Linked DNA regions of Ovis aries. The protein of the gene in region 1 binds, or shares a complex with, the protein of each later gene. Links are inferred from orthologs where the notes say so. Each region holds a gene or a part of one and is shown on either strand. Other genes may lie near its edges.

Region 1 (3,511 bases):
TGGGCTTAACATTTAACAAGATGTGGGCCTGTTTCCTGCAGGTATTTTGAAGGTGGTGTCTCATCTGTCTACCTCTGGGACCTGGATCATGGTTTTGCTGGAGTGATCCTCATAAAGAAGGCTGGGGATGGCTCAAAGAAGATCAAGGGCTGCTGGGACTCCATCCACGTGGTGGAAGTGCAGGTGAGGCTCCCCCGCGGCTGCCCTGGGGGTGCTGAGTGAAGAGGGGGTGCTGTGATGTGTGAACCTGCTGCTTCCTGCAAGTGCCTACGGCCACGTGGACAGAGGCAAGGCGGGAGTGCAGTCGTCGCGGATGAAAAAGATCCCAGGGGGACTGGGGTACACGATTGCAGATTCAGCCCTAAATTTAAAAGCCGTTTGGGGTCTTTAGAAGGTCACATCACGGTGAGGCCTTAGGAAGGGAAGGCTCTAATGACCTGAATTCAGGGGCCCCTTGGGGCTCAGCTCAGGGCCACACGCGAGGTTCTGATCTCTGTCTCGTCCTGCAGGAGAAGTCCAGTGGTCGCACCGCCCACTACAAGCTGACCTCCACGGTGATGCTGTGGCTGCAAACCAACAAATCCGGCTCTGGCACCATGAACCTCGGAGGCAGCCTTACCAGACAGGTAGAGTGAGTGGGCAGTGCCCGGGCCAGCCCCAGCGCTGGCTGTGTGTGGAGATGCGTGGGCAGCCGCCCCCACAGGGTCCAGGGGCGGCCTCTGTGACTAATGGGGTCCCCCCGCAGGCCTGTGGGTGATTGCTGAGACTCAGTCACGGGAGATTTTTTTCCCCTTGGGTCAAGGTATTTGTGGTAAGATGCTCCTGTGATATTTGGGACATGCTGATGGTTACATTTTCGAATGGATTCATTTCTTAATTGTGACTTCTGCCCGCAGGTGGCAGAAGTAAAAACCAGCTTAAGCAAAAACGGGAACAAGTCAGCTCACGTACTTGTGCAGTCCCGTCGTCGTCCAGCCCAGCGGGGTCTAAGACACACGTGATGTGGGCGGGACCCCGAATCTCTGCATGGGGGCGCCTGGCGGCCTCTGGCCATCCTGGGGGAGAGCGTCTCCCTGCTGGCTCGGGCTGCTTGTCCAGAACAGAATCACTTCCAGGGGCCGGGGTCACGTGACTACCCATGGGTGGAGTTAGACGAACAGGGGGAGTCAGTTTCCTGAAGTGAAACCGGGCAGCTTTTCATAGTTTTGCGGGGGGTCGGTGTGGGCAGCGTGAGCAGTGCTGGCGGCCAGGCGGTCTGAGCACCAGGCCTCTGGGGGGTGGCCGTCAGAGTCCCCAGAAGGAGAGAAGCTGCTGAGCTGGAAGCTGCAGGGCTTCAGAAGGAGGAGGAGAGCCTGCTTCAGTCTCCGAACCAGTTACCAGCCTCCCCCCGCAGCTGCCTCGTGGTCACATCTCCTCTCTGCTCCGCTCCGGCCCCCCCACCCGCAGCAGTGCCCCAGGGACACGGGGTCACAAGGGAATGACAGTCAGCAGCATCGTCCACTCCAAGCCCAAGCAGGGCACTCTCCAGACCTCAGAGTGTCTGTTCATCTCATTCTGAAAAAAAACGAGCGTGTCTGGCTAAAGCAGTCCACAGCCTGTGTGAGGCACAGCGTCTGCACGTTAGAGGAGTTCAGAGGGCATCTCCCAACCCGACAGGACACCCTGTGCCGCCCTCCTTGGTGGCACCCCGGGGCGCGCGGCCCTGGGGGTAGCCCACTTCCTTCATGTCAGCCTCTGCAGGAAGTGGCATCAGGAGAGAACCTGCTCTCCAGGGTGGGTCCCCTCCTGCTTGGCGGGCGCCCCGCAGGCGTGCGGTTGGCTGGGCTGGCGCCCCTGCTCCCGCCTCTTTCCCGTGAACTATTGACGGTCCAGGGATTTCCCGTTCTGTTTCTGTGTGGTTGATCTTGCTTGAAACAAGGTTTTCCCTGTGGACCCGCGTTCTGGACTCTGTCCCTTCTGCCCATGACAGATAGGTTGTGTCTCGGTTCCCATCATCCCTGGGTTCGTTGTTCCTTCCGGCTTTGTTCCCACACATTAACTCAGATGAATGAGTCTGTCTTCGTAGTCATTCGCAGCCAAGCTCAGAGCTCTCTGGGATGGCTGTCAGAGACTTCCGTAGAGGAAGTTGTGGGGCGCTGGTCTTTAGGGTGAGCTGGTTCGGTTCTCATTCACCACCTAAGCAGACTTCACATTTCCACACAGATGCTGTTTGAGCTACCTGTGGCTGAATGCCGCCTGCCGTTTCCCAGCCGGCTCCCGGCCGTGCTGGGACCAGGTGGCTGCAGGCTTGGCCTCACCCTCCTCATCCTCAGGACTCAGCGCGTCCCTGCACCTCAGGCTCCTTGGATGTTGCGAGAAGCCTTGCTCTGCTCTGTTCCCTGTCGCTGTGGCCCTGCAAGCCTGGCGGGGCAGGCAGGCTCGCCCAGAGGCTCGTCCTCTGCAGCTCGGTGGCACCTTTCTGCCCGCAGTCCAGTGTAGGAGGGCCCTGCATCAGCGCCGTGGACCGCAGAGCTGGTCACAGATCCAGAGAGCGAGGGCCCCGCCCTGACCTACCAAATTGAGACCCCCATTTCATAAAAGTCTCCAAGTAATTTACGTGCCCATTAACATTTGACAGACGCTACTTTTCTGGGTTCCACACCCAGTGCCATCTTGGCAGGGGTGGGGGTGACGCCCCATGCCACCAACAACCATTGTGCGACCCCAGGAGAGTGTCCTGCACATCACTCTACCTGGAGACAGTGCCAGGCTGCGCATCCTGGGCTCAGTCCCAAACGGCAGCCTGCCCGCCCCCCCGAGACACACCTGCGCTTCTGAGCTACTGGCTACACATCAGAGGTTCCCACGACCCTTCCTTGGGGTCCATTAATTTATTAGAGCTGCTCACCGAACCCAGAAAAACCCGTTTACTGATTAGCCTGCAGGTTTATTGCAGCAGACTCTTAAACATTTCAGATCAACAGCCAGATGAAGAGATCCACACGGTGAGGTCTGAAGCAAGGCCTGCTGTCCTGATGGAGTTTTGGGGCCCTGCATGGTGGCACCTGGAAGTCAGTTGGTTTCTCAGCCTGGAAGCTCTCTGATTCCCATCTTTTGTGGGGTTTCACGGAGACTTCCTTGGGCTTCCCTGGTGACTCAGACGGTAAAGAATCTGCCTGCAATGCGGGAGACCAGGGTTTGATCCCTGGGTCGGGAAGATCCTAGAGAAGGAAATGACAATCCACGCCAGTATTCTTGCCAGGAGACTTCCACGGACAGAGGAGCCTGAGGGCTGCAGTCCATGGCGTCACAAAGAGTCTGATACGACTGAGCAGCTCACACACACACAGAGACTCCCTGACAAAGGCGTGATTAACTCACGGGTGATTGATTTGACCTCCAGCCCTTCTCCCCCGACTGCCTGGAAACCAGGAGAGGGACTAAAGTCCCACCCCTCCATTTGTGATTGGTGCCCCTGGTGACCAGGCCCCATCCTGAAGTGGTTTCCAAAACTCACCGTGTTCACAGAAAC
Region 2 (4,113 bases), on another chromosome or scaffold:
TATTCTTGCCTGATTCACCAAGAAATTTGCCATCTTCCTAGTTAAAAAAAAAAAAAACTCAGCTCTAACACACAGCTTTTTCTTTTTTTCATGATCTTTCCATTCATCCTCTAGTGACAGAATTGAGCCAGGTTCCCTTCCTACTAATTCTTCTTAAAACAAAGGGAAGTGAAAAGTCACTCAGTTATGTCTGACTCTTTGCAACCCCATGGACTATATAGTGGAGTCTCCAGGCCAAAATACTAGAGTTGGTAGCCTTTCCCTTCTTCAGGGGAACTTACGGTATAATTCCTTGAAGATGAGTAAAATATGATTTTTCTCAAGATTGCCCATGCCTTCTATAAATCACTAACATCTAATTCAGTTACCATTTCATCATTTATATGATTTGAACTAATCAGATGACAAATCTTAATCTGTTGTGAACATCTATGCATTCTCAGCAGATTGTTCTAAGCAGATAACTTGGTATTATTTCAAATTTTATCAACAACTCTTGATAAAATTTCCTCTTACCTAAATGCTTTCCATTTTGATTATGAATATATCTAACATAATTAATTGCTTTAATTTCTAAGAGACTAATCTTTCACATGTATTTTCTGCAGAAAACATACAAGTAGCTATCCACATTTCCTTATATTGGATGAAGTCCTTCCTAGGGTGGGATATGCAGGGGACGGATATTATCTCACCTTAAAAATATATTTCACATGAATAGTATTGCACTGAATACCTAATTTTTCAAGTAGTTTCAGAGCTTTTTCTAGGGTAATTTTTCCACCTTTGAAGTCATCTCGAACCATCAACAAAAACCATGTAGGAGACACACCAAAAAAAGAAGTTAAGGAAATTCTCACAGAAAGTCATTAAGTACTTAAAATGACTAAGAATATTTTGTCTCTCTTCAATGTTTTTCTTTTCAGAAGATAGTCTATCTCATGCCTAAGTGAGAAAATAATTTTATGATAAATAATATTTAAAACAAAATTAAGTAGGTACTATTTAGTGCTAAAGGTATGAAAGGACTTAATAAAATAAGAATTATAGGAAGAGAATAAAAATTAACATTTGAGAAATATAGCTATTACTTGGGAAATACAATCTATTTTCTGAAGACATGAACACCAAGATCTTTCTATCACATGATCTCTCTCAAGATTAGTTTCCTCATCTGAAAAGTGGTCAAATTAATACTTTAGGAAGGTAGGGGCATTAAATGAGCTCATAATATATCATTCAACATAGTTTCTGTTACTGAGATTTCAATAAATAATAACCATGTCTGATATGATTATTACCATTATACTAGCCAAATGTCCAGCTACTCACATGCCTCCAAAAGCAACATTTTAAGGACCATCAGAAAGAGGGGGTTTTTTTGTTGTTGTTTTTTTTTTCTAATGCCATGGTGAGTGTCTAATTAGTATGAAGGAGAAAACAAAAATAATCAAGCTTGCTTCATCTACAGAGAAACAACAAAATTTAGGACACTTCAAATTGAAAAAAAATAAGATTGAGAAGGATTAATATGACAGTCTATAAAATCATGAAAAGTACCGGTAAAAATTGTTCAACAATACACTCAATTTCAAATTGTTAGAACTAATGGGAAGCCCTTCAATTTAATGGCTGTGACTTAATATGGCAAAGCTCATGTTACAAGAAAAAGATACAGGAAGCTAGGGAAATTAAAAAAAAAAAAAAACTCAGGATGCAAAAAGGAGGAAGCAGTTTACACTCAAATGGGAGAAACAAGCTCAGGAGTCTTCAAAGGGGGATAAGTCAAGAGAAAGGAAAGAGGAACAGAAAGGACTTCTGAGTGGATATTTGTTCTCCATATTTTCATGACCTGAAGTTTCGTTTCTCCTCACTTAGAAGCTTCTCCCCATTATGAGTTGTCACAGGTTCCAAATATAATTAACTCCGCCCATTGGCAAGAAAGGGATTCCTTGAAACTCATCCGCTGTTACCACTGCCCCTTTTCTAGAAAGAAAGCAGAAAACACAGTGGTTTGTTGCCTTTGTTCTTTGCAGTTAGCGCAACACTTAAATCCCCCAGAGACTGTATGGAGGTTTGTGGTCTCTGTACTTCACTGCCCTTAAAATTTTTCTGGCTTCTTGCTTATGTTCTGACCATTTCCAAACCCACAATGTTTATAAGAGAGGCAACCCTTGCCGTCTGGCATTTTCCCATGAACAGCCATCGTCTCTCATTTTATTTTTACTATTTTGTTTAAACCCCTCAAACCTTTCAGGATAACATGCTTCCACTGGGTTTGGACAGTTATTCTGACGGCCTGATTGCAAATCACTGCCATTGTGGTCCCCAAAGGGTCAAAGAGCTTCCAAATACTCCCTAGAAACTCTGGGTTGCTTATCATAGATCTACGACCACCTATGGAATAAACACACCACTTTATGAAGAAGGCTGTTCTGGAGGCTAAGTTCTTAAAAAATCTTCAAAATTCGTATCGCTGGTTGGCTGGGCACCACGCTGTCAGGTGACTGTCATGTTTTCCTTTGGGTCCAAACACCCATTGTGATCTCATCAAAAGTTCCATACTTCACAGAGCAAGCTCCTCTATGACTTCATCAGGAGACTCAGAGCTGGCCAGACAACCTGTTTTTGGCATGGTCAGACATGGTAATCTTAAGCTTGAATGTTTAACACCTGGATGGGAAAGGCGCCCCATGGAATGTTCTCTCATCCTCTGAACACTGTTCATTCCAGAAGCTCTGCTTCTGCCACAACCAAACATGTCACGTAGCACTCTGAGTAGGAAAGAGAAAGAAAAAGTAATTCGCAGACTACTGATACAGGCTCCTCCAGGGGAATTTGTAAATGCCTTTGATGATCTCTGTCTGCTTATCCGTGATGAAAAACTCATGCACCATCAAGGGGAGTGTGCGGGCCACCAACACTGCCAAAAATATTCTGTCCCACTCAGCATCGATGGGAATGCTGTCCTCCTGTCTCACCACAATGTTGTGGGCGACTACAGGTTTTTCGACTACCAGAGCAAACTTTCTTTCAAATTTGATCTGCTTCAAAACCAGTTAAAGGACATCCAGAGTCATGGAATCATTTGGAATGAGACGGAGTACCTGAGGGCTGTAGTTCTGTGCGCCTTGAAGCTCTATGTGAACGACCACTACCCAAAGGGAAACTGCAACGTGCTGAGAAAAACAGTGAAAAATAAGGAGTTCTTGATCGCCTGCATCGAAGACCACAGCTATGAAACAACAGACTACTGGAATGGGCTTTGGAAATCAAAATGGATTTTCCAAGTCAATCCATTTCTAACCCAGGTAACAGGGAGAATTTTTGTGCAAGCTCACTACTTCAGGTGTGTCAACCTACATGTCGAAATCTCGAAGGACCTGAAAGAAAGCTTGGAGGTAGTGAACCAAGCTCAGCTGGCCCTAAGTTTCGCAAGGCTTGTGGAAGAGCAAGAGAATAAATTTCAAGCTGCAGTGTTGGAAGAACTACAGGAGTTATCGAATGAAGCTCTGAGAAGAATTCTACGAAGAGATCTTCCAGTGACCCGTACTCATATTGACTGGCAGAGGATACTCTCTGACTTGAATCTGGTGATGTATCCTAAATTAGGGTATGTCATTTATTCAAGGAGTGTGCTATGCAACTGGATAATATAAAGGATTGCTCCTGGTAACTGTCTTGATCTGATTCAGTTGTGTTTCCGGGGATGGGGGGTGGGGGAGGCACTGAGGTTATTCTCCTAAAGTTGAGAAGCCACCAGATATGTCCATCACTTGGCAGATGTAAATTTGGGGGCGATTTTTGGTTTTACTTTTTTTAGCGGGGGCACATCACACAGTCTGTAGGAACTTGTTTCCCCAGCCTAGGACTGAACCCGAGCCTTCAGCAGTTGAAAGCAGAGTCCTGACCACTGGACTGCCAAGGAATTTCAGATGAAAGTTTAAATTAGGGACAAGTCTTCCAAATCATTTTATTCAAGGAATATTTACCAGTAACTCAAGGAAAGGGTGATGGTAATGTGTTTCATGGTAGTGACAATCATAAAGCCAGAAACATTTATTAGAAACTAAAATGACTTTGTAGAATGTGGCATCCCAGAAGTATTAATAT

What was found. The genes of interacting proteins can lie anywhere in the genome.
Region 2: CAPZB (region 1) and CAPZA3 share a complex: the UniProt entries of both Homo sapiens proteins name them as parts of the WASH complex. The link is inferred for Ovis aries from reciprocal best matches to the Homo sapiens genes CAPZB and CAPZA3.

The regions. Positions count from the first base shown.
Region 1 is NC_056055.1:247,014,152-247,017,662, forward strand, and holds part of CAPZB (F-actin-capping protein subunit beta), read left to right. Parts: intron 1-41; coding exon 42-183; intron 184-509; coding exon 510-626; intron 627-3,511. UniProt on the Homo sapiens protein: F-actin-capping proteins bind in a Ca(2+)-independent manner to the fast growing ends of actin filaments (barbed end) thereby blocking the exchange of subunits at these ends.
Region 2 is NC_056056.1:196,880,665-196,884,777, reverse strand, and holds CAPZA3 (F-actin-capping protein subunit alpha-3), read left to right. Parts: upstream 1-1,303; 5' UTR 1,304-2,759; coding exon 2,760-3,659; downstream 3,660-4,113. Other genes in the region: PLCZ1 (1-phosphatidylinositol 4,5-bisphosphate phosphodiesterase zeta-1), read right to left, coding at 696-806. UniProt on the Homo sapiens protein: F-actin-capping proteins bind in a Ca(2+)-independent manner to the fast growing ends of actin filaments (barbed end) thereby blocking the exchange of subunits at these ends.